Linked DNA regions of Mus musculus: region 1 is reported to be linked to region 2. Evidence: microRNA targets listed by miRTarBase, many of them from high-throughput screens and not tested one by one. Region 2 holds a microRNA gene; the other region holds the end of a gene's coding sequence. Distances are between the middles of the regions.
What was found. Region 2 holds the annotated microRNA mmu-miR-344f-5p (AGUCAGUCUCCUGGCUGGAGUC, at 6,046-6,067, shown strand). A microRNA usually pairs through its seed, bases 2 to 8, with sites in the 3' UTR of a target mRNA and lowers its output. Matches are read on the target gene's strand: a 7mer-m8 pairs with bases 2 to 8, a 7mer-A1 pairs with bases 2 to 7 and ends in A, and an 8mer does both.

Region 1: the mRNA of Gga2 is a reported target of mmu-miR-344f-5p. Seed matches in the 3' UTR shown: 7mer-m8 at 2,005-2,011.

The regions. Positions count from the first base shown.
Region 1 is chr7:121,982,715-121,990,176 of GRCm38, reverse strand. Gga2 (golgi associated, gamma adaptin ear containing, ARF binding protein 2) reads left to right here. Exons shown (of 17, transcript NM_028758.2): 17 at 376-3,455. The coding sequence ends at 486. Among named protein-coding and RNA genes, the nearest start is that of Cog7, 4.8 kb to the right of the region's middle.
Region 2 is chr7:62,039,713-62,052,291 of GRCm38, reverse strand. It overlaps Mir344f (microRNA Mir344f), which reads left to right and starts at 6,044; the gene lies at 6,044-6,111.

The DNA of each region.
Region 1 (7,462 bases), 60 Mb from region 2:
TTACTCTTTGGGACTGCTGGGGTGGGCTGGGCTTCCAGGATACATGCCTGGCACTGGTATTTGTAGTTCTAAAGAGACTAAGCCAGGGTATTCATGGCATTCCATTACTCTACCTCTTCATTTGGGGGAATTATGTAAACACACCGAGCCAAGTATAGTGGTGTACAGTAATACCAGCACTCCAGAGGAAGAGATAGGCCTGATTTACACAGCAAGTTCCAGGCTAGCCTAGGCCACACAGTAGACCCTGTCTCAAAAATAAATAAGCTGTAAGCTGTTCCTTGGAGAGTCTTAAGTTGGGTGGAAGCTTTTACTATAGGCTTGACTCTTTTTCCTACTGATTGATTTAACATCTTAGCCTCTCTTCTGTCCTAGGAACCTATCCGGTTGCGGTATAAGCTGACTTTCAACCAAGGTGGGCAGCCGTTCAGTGAAGTAGGAGAGGTGAAAGACTTTCCAGACCTGGCTGTCTTGAGCACCGCCTGACTTTTCAACCAAGACTCTTCAGTCACGCTTAGGCCAGCGTCCTTTTACTGTCTGGTCGGGACTTGTTGTAATGTAGTGCAGAGTGCCAAGGATTCTCTCCTGATGTTAGGCCTTGATTGCCAATGTGTCTGTTGATCATGTATGTGTGGGTGCGTGTGTGTTACTGGGGTGCTGGGGGAGGAGGGAGAGCTGGGCTTGGGATTTGGGCAGTATGGGGGATGCTGACCACCTCTGAGATCATCTCTGCTGCACTCATACCTGCTTCTGCATGTTGGTTGACAATGTTGCCCCTGCCTCGAGTTGGAGTTTTATAAGCCAAAGTTTTTTCCATGTATTGTTAATCTTTTCATTCATCCACTCTGTGCCTTGTCAGCCTTTGAAAGTCTTAGTTGCTCCCAGGCTGCTATTCTCAGGGACCTTAGAAAGGGACCTGGTTGGTCTTGCGACAGAGAGTGTCTTCTGGGGCACACTCTTCCAAGAATGGCCTTGTCTTCATTTTTCATTAGCAAATGCTGCTTGCAGATATTCAGTAAGACCTTCTAAATGGAATGTTTGTTGTACTGGTTCAGGCAAGGGGCTTGCCATGAAACCAGGAGACCACACTTGTTGGGCCAATCATGTCCTTCACTACAGTGCCTTAGATACTCCCTTAGACGGACCCTCTTGAGGCCTTGCTCAGGCCTTGGGTTCTGTGGGTTGGGCAGCCTGTCTGGGCCCTTACTCAGGACCCACAATGTCATCTTCATTCTTTCTGTTCACAAACATCTCAGAGCTCTTTCATTGTGACCCTGTGTTCGTTGTTGTGAATCATAGTTAAGGGGGGCCAGCCCTGAGCCCTCACAATCCAAGGTGGGGAGCTGCGATGCAGGTAGAGAGCCATGTGGTGACTAAGTACAGAACATCATTGAATAAATACTGTGTTCAGATCTGCCTGGTGTTGAGTCCACAGGGGATGCATTTAGAGGGGACAGGCTGGCGGGGAATGGTTTTCTGTCAACAAGTGAGGACATGATGAGCAGTGTTCTGACGAGCTGAAGGAGCTGGAGAAGAGGGGTGGGTGTTTGCCTCAGGTGTCCCCAGAAAGGAAACTCAAGCTACTGGTTGACTCGAGAGCACCTACTATGTGCTGGGTTCTTTGGCATGCATGCTTCAACAAGTTCTGCTTGGCTGGGTCCATGGGAGAAGGAACCCTGAGGTCTGAAATGGGTGCTGAGGGCTGGAAAGTCCTGGCATCCAGTCTTGCGGGTTCTGCCTCAGAAACTGGAGGGCCATCTCTCAATTATGACATGTTCATCTAGTTGGATATCCAACAATAATTTTCTTTAGGTGTATATTAATATTGATAATTTCAGTAGATTTTTAGGATAGCTTCTGGCTGCTGTTTTTGTTTGTTTTTGAGACAGTCACTGTAGCCCTGGCTGGCCTGGAATTCACCATGTAGACCAAGCTGGCCTCACACTCACAGTGATCCACTGCCTCTGCCTCCTGAGTGCTGGGATTAAAGGTCTGCGCTACAATGACTGACTTTAAAAAAAAAAAAAATAGGTCTCATGTAGCCCAAGCTGACCTCAAACTCACTGTGGAAACTGAAAGAGAGTGACCTTCAACTTCTGATCCTCCTGCCTCCAACTCATGTGTACCAAGTCCTGACAAGATGGAACCCCAAGCCTGTGCATGCTAGGCAAGCACTTGTCCAACTGAGCTGCATCCCCAGCCCCCTGGTTTTTTGTTGTCTCAAGCTATAGTCCAACCTGACCTGGAACTCAAATACCATGTTCAAAGAAACATGATATAGTAGCCAATATACACTACACACTTGTGGAAACAGGCTAGAGCAGGGCATCCAAGGTTTTTTGCCTTTAAGTTCCCAGGAACACGCTCCTCACAGCCCTGTTCCCAGATGCAGCTTCAATATCACAGTTGCCAATGCACTGTCAGTCACAGGAGGGAGCCGGGCGGGCATGGTGGTGCACGCCTTTAATCCCAGCACTCTGGAGGCAGAGGCAGGCAGATTTCTGAGTTTGAGGCCAGCCTGGTCTACAGAGTGAGTTCTAGGACAGCCAGGGCTACACAGAGAAACCCTGTCTCTGGAAACCAAAACAAACAACAACAACAAAAACAGTTACAGGAGGAAAAGGGGAAATGCCAAGGCTTTCTGGAAACTTCCCATGATGTCTGCCTTCACATCTTGTCCTGTATGGGTATTTGGCCACACCTAGCTGCAAACCACACTGGGAAGGTATGGATGTTGTGTGCAGTGCAACACAGTATAAACTTGGGGTCTAGTTACCATGGAAGGAGAGATTCGATAGTATGGTACAAAATTAGCAAGCAGTCTTCCCTCTACTGTGAGAGAAGCCTGCTTTCAAACTATTGCTAAGTGAAAATGCAGGTTATTCTTCTTTGTTGTTCTGGCCATCAAATTTATGGCTTTAAGGTTACTACTGCTGTGATAAAACACCTTGTGGAGGAAAGAGTTTATTGGCTTACATTTCCACCTCACAGGAAGGCAGGGCAGAAACTCAAACAGGGCAGGAACATGGAGGCAGGAGCTGATGCAGAGGTCGTGGAGGGGTGCTGCTTACTGCCTTGCTCCTTGTGGTTTGCTCAGCTTGTCTTACAGAAGCCAGGACCACCATCTTGGGAATGGTCCCACCATAGTGGGCTTGACCCCTCTCTCCATTAATCACTATTTAAGAAAATGCCCTACAGACTTGCATGCAGACTCATCTTATGGAGGCATTTCTTTATTACAGTTCCCACCTCTCAGACGACTGTGTCAAGTTTACATAAAACTAACCAAGCTACATCCTTATCCCCTTGTTCTAGCTTTAAACCAAACATTTCCCCCCAGATATTTGGATATACACATAACTGGCCATGGTTGGGTCTTGGAATTACAGGTGGGTTCTTTTCAACTTCATTTCCGTTTACTGAAATTTCTAAACCAAATAAAGCTGAATTTCTTATGTTTAGTGTCACTGTTTTGATGGGTATTAAACATGATTCAAAATTAAAATATAAAAGGTGGAAATTCTGGGCTGGGGCGATGGCTCTTCAAAGCACTTGCTGTGCAAGAGTGAGGCCCTGAGTTCCATTCCTAGAACCTACATAGAAAAGCTGAGTGTAGTGGCAAGCACAAGTAGAGAGAGTACAATCCCCGGCACTGGCGCTTGCTAACCAGCCAGTTGGTGCGTAGCAGGCCCTGTGAGACCCTGTCTGAAAAAGTAAGGTGGATGGTGTCTGGGCACAGGAAATTGGTCTCTGGCCTCCACAGGTACACATATGCACACATACGGAATAGAAGTTCCCTCATCTGCTTTCCAGAGCCACACTAGGAATGCTAAGCAGACGATTGTGACACTAGATAGCTGGGGGAGAGTAGGTACACCAAGAGCAAAGGATGGCTCAGTCTCCTTTCACCTGAGCTATAAACCAGGTGTCTTTAGTTCTCTCTCCCCCACCACGCTTGTTTGTAGGATCTGCCTGAGAGTCACCTTCGGTCTTTTCTCTCTCACATGCACCCTCTTGAGCAAGCCACCTAGTCTGCCTTAGCACTGTTTTATGTAGCACAGGTTGACTTTGATCCCCTTGCCTCTACCTCTCACGTGCTGGGATATAGGTGTGTACCACCACAGCTGACTCCTTATACTCTTGGTAACAATGTTTAAAATGTAGTTAGGGGCCACCAGATGGCTCAGCAGGTGCGGTACCTGCATGTGTCAAGCCTGACCACCTGAGTTTGATTCTGGGAACACGAGGAAACACTGAGTGCCTCAAGTTATGACTTCCACACAGAGTCTCACTGTAGCTCGGCTGGCTTGGAGATTGTTATATAGACCAGGGTGACCTTAAATTCATAGCGATCCATCTGTCTTTGTCTCCTTAGTGCAGGGATTAAAGATGTGAACCACAGAGGCAGGTGGATTTCTGAGTTCGAGGCCAGCCTGGTCTACAGAGTGAGTTCCAGGACAGCCAGGGCTACACAGAGAAACCCTGTTGCAAAAACAAAACCAAAACCAAAAATGGATGTGAACCAATGTGCTCCACTCAGCAATTGTTTTGACATGGGCAGGTGTGGAACTTCCATATAAAGCTAGTTCTGGCTGACTGAATTTGTGTTAAAGCCAGGAAGTAACACTCAAGTGTCCCTCACCACTTAAAAACAGAAAAATCTCTTGAACGTAGGCTCTTTGATTCAGAATGACCTTGAACTCTTAGGTCCCAAGTGCTTGCATTAAGGATGTCCACCACTATGTCTGGCTTATCCAGGTCCATTTGGCATGTCTCAAAAAAAAAATTGTTGGCTTGGGGCCAGAAAGGTTAAGCGTATGCACTGCTCTTGCAGAAGACCCATGTCTGGAGGCTAACAACAATCCGGATCTGTGATTCTCTCTTCTGGCCTCTGCATGTACCTGAACTGATGTTCACAACTCATAAACTATACATATACAATATTAAAATTAAATATTTTTAAAAGTGTAGGCTTAGGGTCAGGACTAGGAGACAGACTGACATGTTTCTAAGGAGCCGCTGGCAGCATGGACACATCTGAAAAGGTCCCTGGGGAGTGAGGGAAAGGTTGGTGGGACCTGAGGGGTCTCTGTGTCGGGAGGCTGGTGCTTGAAGAGGATGGTTTGTGGTCACTATTTACTGGGGTTTCTCACTATTCCCTCTCCCTGCTGCAGAGGGCATCTTTGTTGTGGGAGGCACACTGGAATGACCCAGAACCACCATTTATCAGCAGAGAAGCTGCATTCCCTGCCTGAGGTTGTGTCAGGTTTCTGAGTTACTGGAGAGCCCAACTGACCACATAGCCCTAGCTAATCTCAAGACTTCATTCATAAGAGCTCAGTATAAAGGGAACGCTGGGTCAGACTTGAGAATGGTTTAAACTTGGAATGTGTTCCCCTTCTTAGTTTCCTTTTCTGTTCTAAGCTGTGGGAATTTAAGGCAGAAAGTTTATTTTAGCTTATAGTTCAGTGTAACAAATCAAAGCAGGAAGATCTTGAAGCAGGCGGTCATATTGTATCCATATTCAAGAAACAGCTAATAATCAGCCTGGCTTTCTCCATTTTATAAGGTTCTGGACCTTCTTGCCCATTGGAAGTGTCCTTCCCACAATGAAGCTGGGTCTTCCTTCTTTGATTAACATAATCAAGATAGTCCCTTACCCAGGCTTGGTAACACATGCCTTTAATCCCAGCACTCTAGATGTAGAGACAGTCTGATCTCTGAGCTTTGAAGCCAGCCTGGTCTAAGAGATGATCCCTCGTAGGCATGTCCAGAGGCCCATCTTCTATGTGATTTTAGATCCTGCCAAGCTGACTGCCCTAACAATCCACCCCCCCCCACAGCTTTGTGGATGTGGAATGCTATAGAAACAGTGTAACAGCCACTGCTGTGAGCACATGCTGCTCTTTCAAGGACCCAGGTTTGGTTCGCAGCATCCATATTGGGAGGCTCACAGCTGCCTGTAACTCCAGCTTTAGGGGATCCAATGTCATTTTCTGGACTCTGGGTACATCCATTCATAAGTGACCAAACCCACACAGAGATATGCATATATACACATAATTAAATCTTTAAAAAAATAAATCTTAAAAGAAGAAACAACAACAACAAAAATAGCCTGGGCCTCAATGACACCAGTGGACACATAGCACAAAGAAAATATACTCAAAAAATTAGCCAGGTAAACCAGAGAACAAGCTTTGTTTCAGAGATAAAGGTGTACTTGATGATGATATTAGGTTAGTACTTAAGGAAGATAAAAGTTACAAATGCACATATACCTAATATCAGAGCCCTGAAGAACCTGAAGCAAAAATAAATGCAGCTGGGCAGAAAAGTGGCAGTACAACAAGATGAATTCCACCCGTGGGTTGGTTTGTTTGTTTTTTGAGACAGGGTCTCTTTATACAGCCCCTGGCTGTTCTGGAACTCACATTGAGGACCAGACTAGCCTTGAATTCCCCTTGGCCTGCCTCTGCCTCCTGAGCATTGAAAGGTGTGTGCCCAGCTAACAATAATGAGTTGGAAACTTAGTCTTTCAGCAGCAATTGGTGGGACAACTCAGAAGATGATCAAGGACATATGTTTTGAAGGACACTAATGATCATCTTTACTAAAATACATGGAACACTTATTCAATGACTGCATATATTTCTTTCTTTTCTTATTCTTTTTTTTTTTTTTTTTTTTTTTTTTTTTTGAGACAGGGTTTCTCTGTATAGCCCTGGCTGTCCTGGAACTCACTTTGTAGACCAGGCTGGCCTCGAACTCAGAAATCCACCTGCCTCTGCCTGCCGAGTGCTGGGATTAAAGGCGTGTGGCACCACACCCGACTATATATTTCTTTTTTGCTGTTTGGTTTGTTTTTGAGACAGGGTCTTGCTACGTATGCCTAAATGATTTCAAACTTAAGGAATCTTCCTCTTTCTGCATCCCCAGTGCTGGGATTGCAGGCGTGTATCACCACATGAAGTCAGACATGTGATTTTCTTCCTCCCTTCTCTGCTTCCTCTTCTTTATATTGAATATTCATGTCCATAGTGCTGTGTTTCATAAAGACAATCTACCTAACTGTACTATGCATTTTACCCCTGTTCCCTTCTGCATATCTTCCCTCTTTCCCACCTCCACCTTCCATTCTTTTTCCTCCCGTGTCTTTCCTCTGCTCTCATGTTAGATATTCTTTTAGGTGTTTATACAATCTGGATCCAGAACTGAGAGAAAACGTGAACTTCGTCTTCTGGCTTCTTTTGCTTATTACCTTTAGCTGTATCCATTCCCCACAACACCATGTCCTCCTTTTGGGTACTGTACATATTTTTAAGTGCACATATACTCTTCTCCATGACAGACAAATATTAAGGCCATAGCAAGTCTCTGTACATTTAGAACAGAGTCATAATATGTGTTCCTGATACACGGAATTAAATTAGAAACCAACGCTAGAACATGCAGTGGTGGC
Region 2 (12,579 bases):
GCTAGTGTATCCAATGGTGATGAGAGGAAGAAATAATAGATGCTAAGATTAAACGCTGTGCTAAATATTGATTATATTTGATTCGGTGTCTTCTTAGCTTTGAACTCCTGAGATAAGCTGACACTTGCTCAGAAGAGATGGCAGTGGATGTTCCAAGTGCTTTACCAATGTTAAATCAGGAGTCCTATTATTACTTATAGTGTAATGACTTTTGCATCATTGTTCTGTCCATATACTGTATATCCCCCTTTTATTGTAGCTATCACTGTGTAATCTTTGAATGTTTTGCAGCTTTGAAGACTCATTTAATAAACATGGGAATGCATTTAAAGTATCATGCATTGATAATAATTTTACAAATGGTGCATAGGAGAGGAGATTCTGTTAAAAGGTACAGAAAAAAATACAAGCAGATATTTGTTGAAGCCACAACATTGTGCATTGGAAATTCTAGGGCTATTAATAGGTTACTTCCCTAGTAGTTATTGGCCACAGAAAACCTAGCAGTTTCTAAAAGAGTAAAGATGTTTGCAGCAGGTGTTGGCTTTATTTAAGAACTGAATGATGCCCTTGGTATTGTGAGGATCATATGCCCCAGTATAGGAGAATGTCGGGGCCAGGCAGTGGGAATGGATGGGTTGGAGAGCAGGGCAGGGAGAGGACATAGGAGGCTTTGGGGTAGCATTTGAAATGTAAATTAAGAAACTATATAATAAAAAATGCCTTAAAAGGTCATGGCAGAAGGAAAAAACAGAACTGAATGAAAAGGTTCTACTGTTGAGGAAGTGTATTGCTTGGCCTTTGAGGATTAAGAAATACAATTTAAGTCATGCAAGTCTTATTTGCTATAAAAAACGTTGTGAATTCAAATTTACCAGGTGTACTTGTCTAGAAGATTCTTTTTTCTTTGGAGTTATTCACTATCTTTGGCTCTGACAGTCTTCTTAATCCCATTTTCTGTTGAAATCTTTGAGGCATGAACTGATATGTTTGCTTAAGACATCTCATTTAGGAGCAAGTGCTCAAAGTTTCTCATACTTAGGCTATTGTACAGTTGTGAATCCTTATGTTATTTCCTATCTACTACAAGTAGGATCTTTGTTAATGATTATTGAAGAGCATGTTTATCTATGGGAGGAATTTTAATACTAGATTCCTTTAGCTAAATAATATTAACAGGTTTTCCACAAGCCTTGTCCCATCTAGTCTCAGGTGTTTTTTTTTTTTTTTGTTTGTTTGTTTTTTTTTGTTTTTCACAGTAACAATGTTCTCTATTGGTTCTGCTTTGTGGGTTACATCATAAATTCATAAAACTGAAAGATTACTCCAATGACTTTTGTACAATGATTTCACCAGTGTATTATACAAGCATATCATTAATGTAGGTTGCATCATTTGTATCTGGGTAGCATTGATGATTTCTTCTTTCCACCAGTTATGTGTAGAGTATCTCCCAATACCAGGATTTCTAGTCAGAAATAGTAAAGCTTCTAATTTTCATGAGCACGATTTCTCTGTGTATAATGTGATAAATAAGCTGCATTTCCAGCAATAGGCCTCACAATTAGGTTCTATAAAGTAGAAGATATCCTTGGCTGTAACCTGTGATAGCTGTAGAGTCTATATGACTCCATTAATAAATGAATCAAAAATAACCCATTTCCAATACTATACATTTTACTTGGTGGCTTAAATGTTTAGTTGAACTATCCTCTTTTGTAAGGTGAATCCATTAAATTACATTCTGAAGTGTATACATTTTAGGAATTTTTAAAGTATTTTTCATGTATTCATACATGTCTATATGATCTAATGATTACTTATACCATTCCATCTTTCATCCACAGCAACACTCATATATGTCCCATTTGATTTCAAATTCGAGGCATATTGTTATGTGTTTTATAGTTACAAACATATAATTATGTATATCTAATGACTAATTTCTGCATTCAAGGATTCCTTTGGATTTACAGTATTTTTCTATCTCTTCCATAATACTCTGAAGCTTGATGCTGATGATGGTTTTAAATTTAACTGTTGTTATTAGGCATACCAAAGTCAGATGAATTTTGACCAGGGGCATACTGTAAAGGTCTCTTTGTGCTGCAAAATGAAGTTGTTTTGCTGATGGTGAATGTTGCATTAATCTGTGGATATAAAGATATATATTTAGAATGTGATTATAAAGCATACTGGTTCAGTAAGTTGGCCGCTGTAGGTTGTTTTGCAAGACTGGTAATCTCACTGTCTGTGAACAGATGACTAGGGTTACAGTGTTTGGTATAACACATTTCCTTGATCATATAATAAGACTACTGATTATCATTCACATTACACTCTATCATGAACAATTAACGTGTAATTTTGAATAACTAAAACTCTATTATCATGATGAGGGCTATGATTTGTGAAATAATGACATTTGAGAGGAGTTGATGAAATATTGAAGTTTACCTATAGGTTTTGTACTGTTCTTATCTTTAGTGTTCACTTCAACATAGCATGGAGGTAAGGAGTAGATGAAATATAAAAATGAGAGACATAGGGGACTCTCTTTTCTACTTTAATATTGTAAGAAATTCTTAAATCAACCTTACTGGAAATGACAATATGAAAGAATATTTTGTTAGAAGCTTGTCTGTCTTGAATGTGATGCAGAAATTAGTGGAGAGTAATTATACTACCTGTGGCTGACAAAAGAATGATGCAGGTACTTTCCTATTTTCTAAGATTGCAGAGAATCAACATTGAAACTTTTGGAATATCTCAGAGATGATGATCTTCAGTGTTGTGGTACAAAGTGATTTTTGGAATATGTAGAGCAAATATTCTTGTGGTCCTTGAATTATAGTCAGTGGGTTATTCTTTTTTCTTTTAACGTCAACTATGCCTGGGTCTAATGGTGGCCCGTTGGGCAATATAATTCCTCTGAAATTATGAGCTTCTGATTTAATTGCTAGAATACACAGGTAAAAATCCACGTATAGTGTTTTTGGCATGCAATTCCATGGCATGCAGTTAAGATTGCTAAGTTTTTCTGGCCAGCCAAACTATTTTTTTGGTAAATTTGGTGAACATAAATGTATCAAATTAAGCAAAGGTAGTAGGTACAATATCAGAGTTATGCAAATGAGCTGTAAGCAGTTAAATCTGCATACACAAAACTTCTATAGATCAAGGAAGATAAAATCTTAGCAGGGGTGATAGAACCCTCAGGAAGTCCCACTCTTATTTTAGATATCTTTGGCATTTGATGGACTGCTGGAGAAGGGAGAATTTGTTTTATTCAGTAATGTTTGGCCTCAGAAGATACCACGATTATATTAGAGATCCATACATCCTTGAACACTTACATAGCCTAAATTGACAAGTTGATATTAAGAAGAGAGGGAGAATGGGCTGTACAACTCTATAGTATGACTGGTTATGGTTTTTCTGAAATAATCATCTTTTACACTGAGGAGTTTCTTTATGAATGGAGATGAGTAAATTTATCTTAGCATATTCAGACAAATGTTTATAAATTGTTATGAGATTAGACTATTACACAATATTTTGTTGTTATATTTGATTAATAAGTTTGTGGTTGACAATTCTCCACTATCCATAACTTCAGTAGCACCAAGTAATTAACTATGTTTCTAGTACTAGGATATTGTTTCCCTCTGAACAGGACATATTATCAATTAGAGTGTTAGTAGATGCCACAAAGTTATGTATGCTGCCACTGCACACTTGAGGTTATTATGCTATGCTGTTAACTGATGAGGTTTACAGCCATGATAGCTATATATGACTTTTGATTGCCTTTCTCCTTTGGAAGCTTGCCCATTATTTTTATTTGTATGTTCTTTTGGTGTCCCTATCACCTCCAGATTCCTCAATACTTCCTCCAAATTTTTCACAAGACTTCCTGAGTTCCATCTCATGTTTGGATGTGGATATCTGCATCTGTTTTGGTCAGCTGCTGAGTGGTGATTTCCAGAGAACAGTTATACTCAATTCCTGTATACTAGGTTCCTGACAAAGTATCATTAATAGTGTTATGATTTAGTTCTTGCCGAAGGGATAGATCTCATGTTGGGCCAGGCATTGGTTTGTCTTTCTCCCAGTGAATATGAAATCTTTGTCCCTGCACTTCTTGTAGATAGGAAAAATTTGGGGTTGAAGTTTTTATTGTGAGATAGTTTCATTATCTCTTCACTGGAAGTCCTCCCTGGCTATAAGAGGTATTCACTTTAGGGTCCATATCCCCTACTGCTAGGATTCTTAGCTAGAGTCACCTTCATAGACTTCCACAAGCCTCCTCAATTACAGCTTGCAAGTTCATAGTAGATCTATCCACAAAATATTCTTACACCTAATGTTTGTGGTACAATAAAGTGAAGTAGCAAAAATAAATGTCAGAGCCAGGTGATCAGCGAGTTTTGTTATAATAATGTTTCTATGAATAATTTTAAAAGCTCCATCAATTAAATTTCAGTAACCTGAACATCCAAAATTGAGCTAAACTTGATGGGAAAGTGTTCACAAGGACTCCACCATACTTATAGAACAACATGCAACTGAGGAAATCTGGAAAAGGAAGATGTGGCCATTCTCAGCGAAGATCACACAAATTATTTGTGTTTTAACAGAAGATCACCTTTGAGAATGTGTATTGAAGTAACATTAAACTTACTAATCAGATTATATTTAAGAATATATAGGTATATGCATGTATACATCCAACAAAAATTAGTAAAAGGGGGACATAAATTTGAAAGATATTGTGATGTGGTTTATTGGAAAATTGAAGGAAGAAAGAGAAAGAAGAAATGCAATTAAATTATATCAATAAGAATAAGAAGGTAGTCACACACATGCATACACAGAAATACACACAGACACACACACACACACAGACAGAAAGAGAAGAGAGACACAGAGAGACAGAGAGAGAGAGAGACAGAGAGAAATGAAAATGCAGCCATGCACAAACACATGCACACATACATAAAGAGAATAGAGAGATTCATATAAGTACAGATAGAGTAGTAATAGTAGAGATAGTGTAGGATTTTAGATTATAGAATGTAGGGTAGGTATTAAAAACACATAATATTTATAATGAATAAAATATGTCTTAAGAAATGAAGCTGCTAGTGGGGAAAAATGTAGATTTGTCTTTTGTTTGTTACCTGGATGCACAATATGCTCACTCCTCACACCAGAAATGTATGAGTTCACAAATGCAAGCAGAGAGAGAGAAAGAGAGAGAGAGAGAGAAAGAGAGAGAGAGAGAGAGAGAGAGAGAGAGAGAGAGAGAGAGAGAGAGAGAGAGAGGGAGAGAGAGAGAGAGAGAGAGAGAGGGAGAGAGAGAGAGAGAGAGAGAGAGAGAGAGAGAGAGGCAGAGGCAGAGAATAATTATGGACCTGTCTTAAAATAAATTTTCATACTACCTGTTAAATTATTTCTTTACAATGACTATACTTTAAGCCATTTCATGTTCATTAGATATATTTCTTTTTTAAATCTAATCTGCTTTTTCTGTAGTCTAATCATTCTAATAGACATAAAGTTCTAATCTAGTGTGATGGCTCATTCTTATAATCACTGCGCTTGTAAACAGTGGCGCAGCTGGGTAGAAAGCATCAGCAGCAGCTGCATCTGGCAGCTCAAAATCATAATCAGAAGGGTCCAGACAGACAAAGACACTTCCTTTTACAAGAGCATCTATTCCCAAGCAACCAGATACATGCTCAGAGCCCCCACACACCACTGGCTGTTTTTGCCTTTTGTCAAGTGGAACCATGTAAAATTGCATTTATTTATTATTTCTCATTTCACTGTTCCTGCCTGCTGCAGCACACAGAGAGGAGAGGCGATACATACAAGCTTGTATAGAAATCTCCCTGGTTACAGAAGGCTATTGATTTACATAGCTAGTTTTGAGATCTCTCACTTGATTGGTCCTAAGCCCATTCTTATTTTGAATGCACACACTCAGCCAATCATAGACAAATGGTGCTAATATAAGTCCCTGAAGAGAGGGGTTTTGCCAGTCAGTCTCCTGGCTGGAGTCCAGCTCTAAGCTGGTTCCAGGCTCTAGCCAGGACCTGACTACAACCTACTTAGCAGTGAAGGAGGACCCATATTAAGATATGCCAGGAAACAGAGCCAATGGAAAACCAGCATAGACAGGTACTTGCTAAAAGAGTCTGCACGTTTATTGAATTATTTGCTTCTATTTCCTCTTTAGGAAATGTGTTCCTTCTTCCTTATCCATTGCTCTTTTTTAAAAATATATTGCTCAGAGGGACTAATAGAGACTGAAGCAGTAGTCATGGAGCCTAGGTTCTTTGCAAGTGTCTGCTTATTAAGCTTGGGGGTTTTGTGGGATTGCCCACTGTCAGTGTGAGGATGTCTCTGACTCTTTCTCCCTGCTCTTGGGACTTGCTTTCTCCTACTAGGTAGCCTCATTCAGCCATGATTTAAAGGTTTTTTGTTTTGTTTTGTTTTCTCGTATTATTGCATCTTTTTTTTTTGCTATGTTTAGTTAGTATCAATGGGAAGCCTGTTCTTTTCTGAAGGGAAAAGGAGGAACATATGTTCCAGAGGAGACAGGGAACAGGGAGGGAGGGGAGGTTGCATTTATGATACACTGTATGAGAGAAGTATAAATTTTATATAGACATATATATATATGATTTACCCTTGGATTTTGGCTTTAATCTGCCATAAGCATCCCAGCCTTCAGTATATAACAGGAAACAGGAGAGCTGCTGTTCCATAAACATCTCAGCTTTCAGTATATAACAGAGACAGGAGAGCTACTGGTCCATAAACATCTCAGCTTTCAGTATATAACAGAGACAGGAGAGCTACTGGTCCATAAACATCTCAGCTTTCAGTATATAACAGAGACAGGAGAGCTACTGGTCCATAAGCATCTCAGCTTTCAGTATATAACAGAGAAAGGAGAGGTACTATTCCATAAGCATCCCAGCCTTCAGTATATAACAGAGACAGGAGAGCTGCTGTTCCTCAGACTCCCTTCATGGACCTAATATGAGGAGAACTGCTATCTACATATATCTCTTATCTGGCAAACTAAAACTCTGAGAGAAAGGTCAGAGCTGAAACATTCACTTTTTTAATGGGTGGTATTGTTTTATTGAAGGTAGATTTTATTTCATACAATATATGATTGTGTTTTCCCTGAGCCAAACTTTTTTTTAACCTTACTTAGGACTTTATTCTTTTGTTTTATTTATTTGTTTGTTTGTTTATTAAAAATTGGATATTTTGTTATTTATATTTCAATTGTTTTCCCCTTTCCAGGTCTCCCCTTGGGAACCTCCTTTCCCATTTCCCTTCCCCCTGTCTCCATGAGGGTGCTTCCTCAACCACCCATCCAGTTCTGTCTGTCTTCCAGCCCTTGTGCTCTGGCATTCCCCTATACTGGGATATCAAACGCCATCAGGTCCAAGGGCTGCTCCTCCCACTGATGTCCAATAAGGCCATTTTCTGCCACATATGTGGCCCAAGCCATGGGTCCCTCCATGTGTACTTTTTGACTGGCAGTCCAGTCCCTGGGAGCTATGAGAGATCTGGCCAGTTGACACTATTGCTCCCCTCCAAGTGTCAGCTCCTTCAGTCCCTTTTCCAACTCCTCCATCAGGGACCATGCACTCAGTCCAATGGTTGGCTATGAGCATCCACCTCTGTATTCATAAGGCTCTGGCAGAGCCTCTCAGGAGACAGCCATATCAGGCTCCTGTTAGCAAGCTCTTCCCAGCATCCACAATAGTGTCTGTGTTTGGTGACTCTATATGGGATGGATCCCCACATGGGGCAGTATCTGAATGGCCTTTCCTTCAGTCTCATACCAAATCCCACCCACCCAAATCTAATCTACACTTTTTCCTTGTCTCTTTAAAGAGAATATAGACATGAATTTACTACTACTACTACTACTACTACTACTACTACTACTACTACTACTGAGCAATCATTAAAATAAAACAAATCACAGTAAGACACACGAAAGAAACAAACAGAAGTAAAATAGCCAAATGAAATTATGCAGAGGCACACATGTTCACACAAAAATAAGTGGCACCAAAACACAATACCATAAACCATTATCCATTATAGGCATGCCCACAAAAAAAGGACATGTAAATAAACAAGAAAACACCACCAACAACAACAGAAACAAAACAAAACAAAACAAAACAAAACAAAACAAACACTGAGTGAGTATTATAAGAAAAAGAAACTCAAAAATGCCTTTGAGTACTTTTTTGTGTGCGATCTACTTCTGAGTTTCGGACCTTTAAAGTTAATTTGCATATGCGATGAAGCTCCACTAGAGGAAACTTAATTTTCCATTTGCTTGCAGTAATCAACTGGCGATAGCTTGTGGTTTTGTGACAGGTCATGTGCTGACTTCTAGCCAATAATCATCAGGTAGCATAAAAAAATGGGAATGGGTGGGTAGGGAAGTGAGGGGGAGGATATGGGGGACTTTTGGGATAGCATTGGAAATGTAATTGAGGAAAATATGTAATAAAAATATTAAAAAAACTGTAAAGCTGGAATCAAGAGTATCACAGATTCTATGTTCTAATCCACAACCAGTTTTTTGGTAAATATTGTTTCTGCTGTGTGATAAATATATTTGTTTACTCTTCCTTGTCTGGACACTCCAGTTTTGAAATCAGGCAAGTTAAGAGGACTGGCCATATCCTTAAGGAAATAACTTTTATATAAAAATTTCCTTTCAATTTTTTTCTTTTGAAATCTTTATTTAATCATAACATAGTCCTCTTTGCTTTCTTTCTACATCCTTCTCTATACATATTTTCACTCTTCTTCAAATCCAATTATTTCAATTTGTGCTTCTTATATGTACATATGATGTGAGTACCAAGATATAAACTTTCAACATTTTCAACATGGTAGAAAAATTAGGAAGGAGAGAAGTGGGGTAGAAAGGGACACATTATTTATTGGAATCTATAAAAGGTCTCAAAACCTCCATTGGGTGATTGGTTTGAATATAATAGATATAACAGATAATAGGAGCCACTATCACCCTGTACCTGAGGGGTAGTTCCCTTGCATTTCTGCTTAGAGGCTTTGCAGTGTCACTTAATATTTGTATATGCCTTTCTCCTCAGATTTCATCAGAATTGAGTTTAGTTAATTGTGGATAACTAGATCACCATATTGATAATATTGGAAAAGACATTGAACTAGAAACCAAATTTTAAAGGCCAAGTTGAGTTTATGTTCACATATTTATATGGCATGAAATCACAAGCATCCATTATTACATAAAATAGTAATTTAAATGGTCCAGTAGTAAATTGCATAACTAATAGTGGATGAGTTAATTTTGTAAATTCTTGAAATTTCATTTAATCATTTTTATTCAAGAAATGCACAAGGTACTCTAGCTGATTCTTTATGGTGTTCCTTAAGAAATGGTATCTCTCAGGAAAAAAAACTAGTTAATTAGATTAATATACAAATTTGAATTTGTATATTCAGAGTACTAGTTTTCTATTAGGCTATACTATGGCTAGTTCAATAACTTCCCACAACACATGAGAAATTTGACATAACTTCACTCCTTAGTCTAAATTCTATACTTTGCTAGATGTCTACCAAGAGAAAATGGGTAAGCCTTTTGTTCTTCACAGTTTGCCTTTTTTACTTGCTGCCATGTATTAAAATATGCTACCTACTTACTGTCTTGTTTATGATTATTATGCCTGGGATGAAATACCATTACCAAAAGCAACTTGGAGAGAAACAATTTGGATTATACATTGTCTTGAGGTTTCTGTTGCTGTAAAGTGACACCATAGCCATGACAAATCTAATAAAGGAAAATATTTCATTGTCTGACTTAATATTTCAAAAGTTTAGTCAATTATCATCAAGAAGAAAAGTATGGAAGCATGGAAGCATGGAGGTGGGGATTGTGGGGCTATATGCCCTGCAGCATTCAGGCAAAGAATTTAGGGAGGGAGTCCTTATTCTTGCTGCTGTCAAGATAAGACTGTAGTTTTATGAAGTGATTTTAGGGGGTTAGAAACCTACCAACCTCACTCCTATTCCAGTCCCATTCTTTCAGCTCACACTTGCCCTACAGCTCTCATGCCTTCAAATCCAGAGCTGTATGACATTTACAGTACTGGTATTGGCTGCTAACAGGAGGAATCACCTTAAAAGATCATGGAACACATCTGTGTGTTGACTCGTTTTTTTTTAAACGTGTATTGGTGTTTACCCTGTATGTTTGGTAATGGTATTAGATCTTGGAGTTATAGACACTTGTGAGCTGCCATGTGGGTGCTGTACATTGAACCCTTGTCCTCTGGAAGAACATTCTATGTTCATAACCACTGAGCAACCTTTCCAACCACTCTGTGTGTTGACATTTAAGAAACACTTTCCAGAAGACTTTACCTCAATTTGATATAACTTCACTATTGTGCTATTCTTTTTTTTTTTTTTTTGGTGATGAACTATCTTTTTTTATTTTTTAATGTTCTTTTTTTATTGGGTATTTATTTCATTTACATTTCCAATGCTATCCCAAAAGTCCCCCATATGCTCCCCCACCCACTCCCCCACCCACCCACTCCCACTTCTTGGCCCTGTCTTTCCCCTGTACTGAGGCATATAAAGTTTGTAAGACCAATGGGTCTCTCTTTCCAATGATAGCCAACTAAGCCATCTTCTGATTCATATGCAGCTAGAGACACGAGCTCCGGGGCAGGGGGTGGGGGAGGTTACTGGTTAGTTCATATTGTTGTTACACCTATAGGATTGCAGATCCCTTTAGCTCCTAGGGTACTTTCTCTAGCTCCTCCATTGGGGGCTCTGTGATCCATCCAATAGCTGACTGTGAGCATCCACTTCTGTGTTTGCTAGGTCCCAGCATAGTCTCACAAGAGACAGCTCTATCTGGGTCCTTTCAGCAAAATTTTGCTAGTGTGTGCAATGGTGTCAGCCTTTGGAAGCTGATTATGGGATGGATCCCTGAATATGGAAGTCTCTAGATGGTCCATCCTTTCATCACAGCTCCAAACTTTGTCTTTGTAACTCCTTCCATGGGTGTTTTGTTCCCAATTCTACGAAGGGGCAAAGTGTCCACACTTTGGTCTTCGTTCTTCTTGAGTTTCATGCATTTAGCAAATTGTATCTTATATCTTGGGTATTCTAAGTTTCTGGGCTTATATCCACTTATCAGTGGGTACATATTTTGGGGGTTCCTTTGTGATTGGGTTACCTCACTCAGGATGATGCCCTCCAGGTCCATCCATTTGCCTAGGAAATTCATAAATTTATTCTTTTTAATAGTAGAGTAGTACTCCATTGTGTAAATGTACCACATTTTCTGTATCCATTCCTCTGTTGAGGGTATTGTGCTATTCTTAATCACAGCTGATTTTCAGCATCCATAGGCCTAGAACAGTAAAAATCTTACTTTAGTGATCCTGGTCTCATGTTGGTTACAGCCAATACATCAGCTAAAGCTGATCTGACACAAAAGATTCATCACAGAAATGGCTTTGTAGAGTCTTTACTTCTCTCAGAAACATCACAAGCCAGGACACCATCACCTGTTATCTTAAAAACTCCTATGCCATATTCACTGTAAACTCAGCATGCAATGTTTTTAGTTTCCCAAGAGTTCAGTCTCCTTCCAAAATCTTATACAAAACAACATGGTCAGTTCTGTAACAGCAATAACTCACTCTTGGCACCAATCTCTGTCTTAGTTAGGTGTAGTGTTGCTGTAATGAAACACCAACATGCAAAACAACTAGGGAAAAAGACTGGGTGTGTTAATTTGTACTTCATTATCATAGTATATCATTGAAGGAAGTCAGACCACAAACTCAAACAGAAAAGGAAATTGGAAGTAGAAGTTGATGCAAAAGATATAAATAGGTATTGCTTACTGGGTTACTCTCATAGATTATTGATCCTACACTCTTATACAACCTAGGGCCAAAATTGCCTGGGTTCAATGAAATCAATCACTAATTAAGAAAGTGCTCTGTAATTTTGTTTACAGACAAAGATTATAGAGACATTTTAAAATTATGGTCCTATCTCTCCTCTGGCAATATCAAATGACAACTTGACATTAAAGTAACCAACACATACAAAGACTGTTGTACGAGTGAAAGAAAGCAAACATCACCATTCTCCATAGAGGACAGTAGGTTTTTATTTTTTTCTTTTCTTTATTATTTTTCTTATATGTTATTCCTTCTTTAAGTTTAATTATCTTACTTTTATGTGTTTATAGATACTATGTAATAATAAATGTTCTGACATTTTGTAGAGCCCATATGAGTTCACTGTTACCATGTGTTTTATTACCACTCATATACCAGGATTACATCACATAGTGAATTGCCAATTCAGTAGTATTGGGGTCCAATCTTCAATTGTATTTATACAGAGAGTCCAAAGTTCTTATTAGGGGAATATTAAAGACTGTTCTCTATGGAGTGTGGAAGCAGATAATAACACAAGATACTGCATGTCTCCCAGAGAAGGACT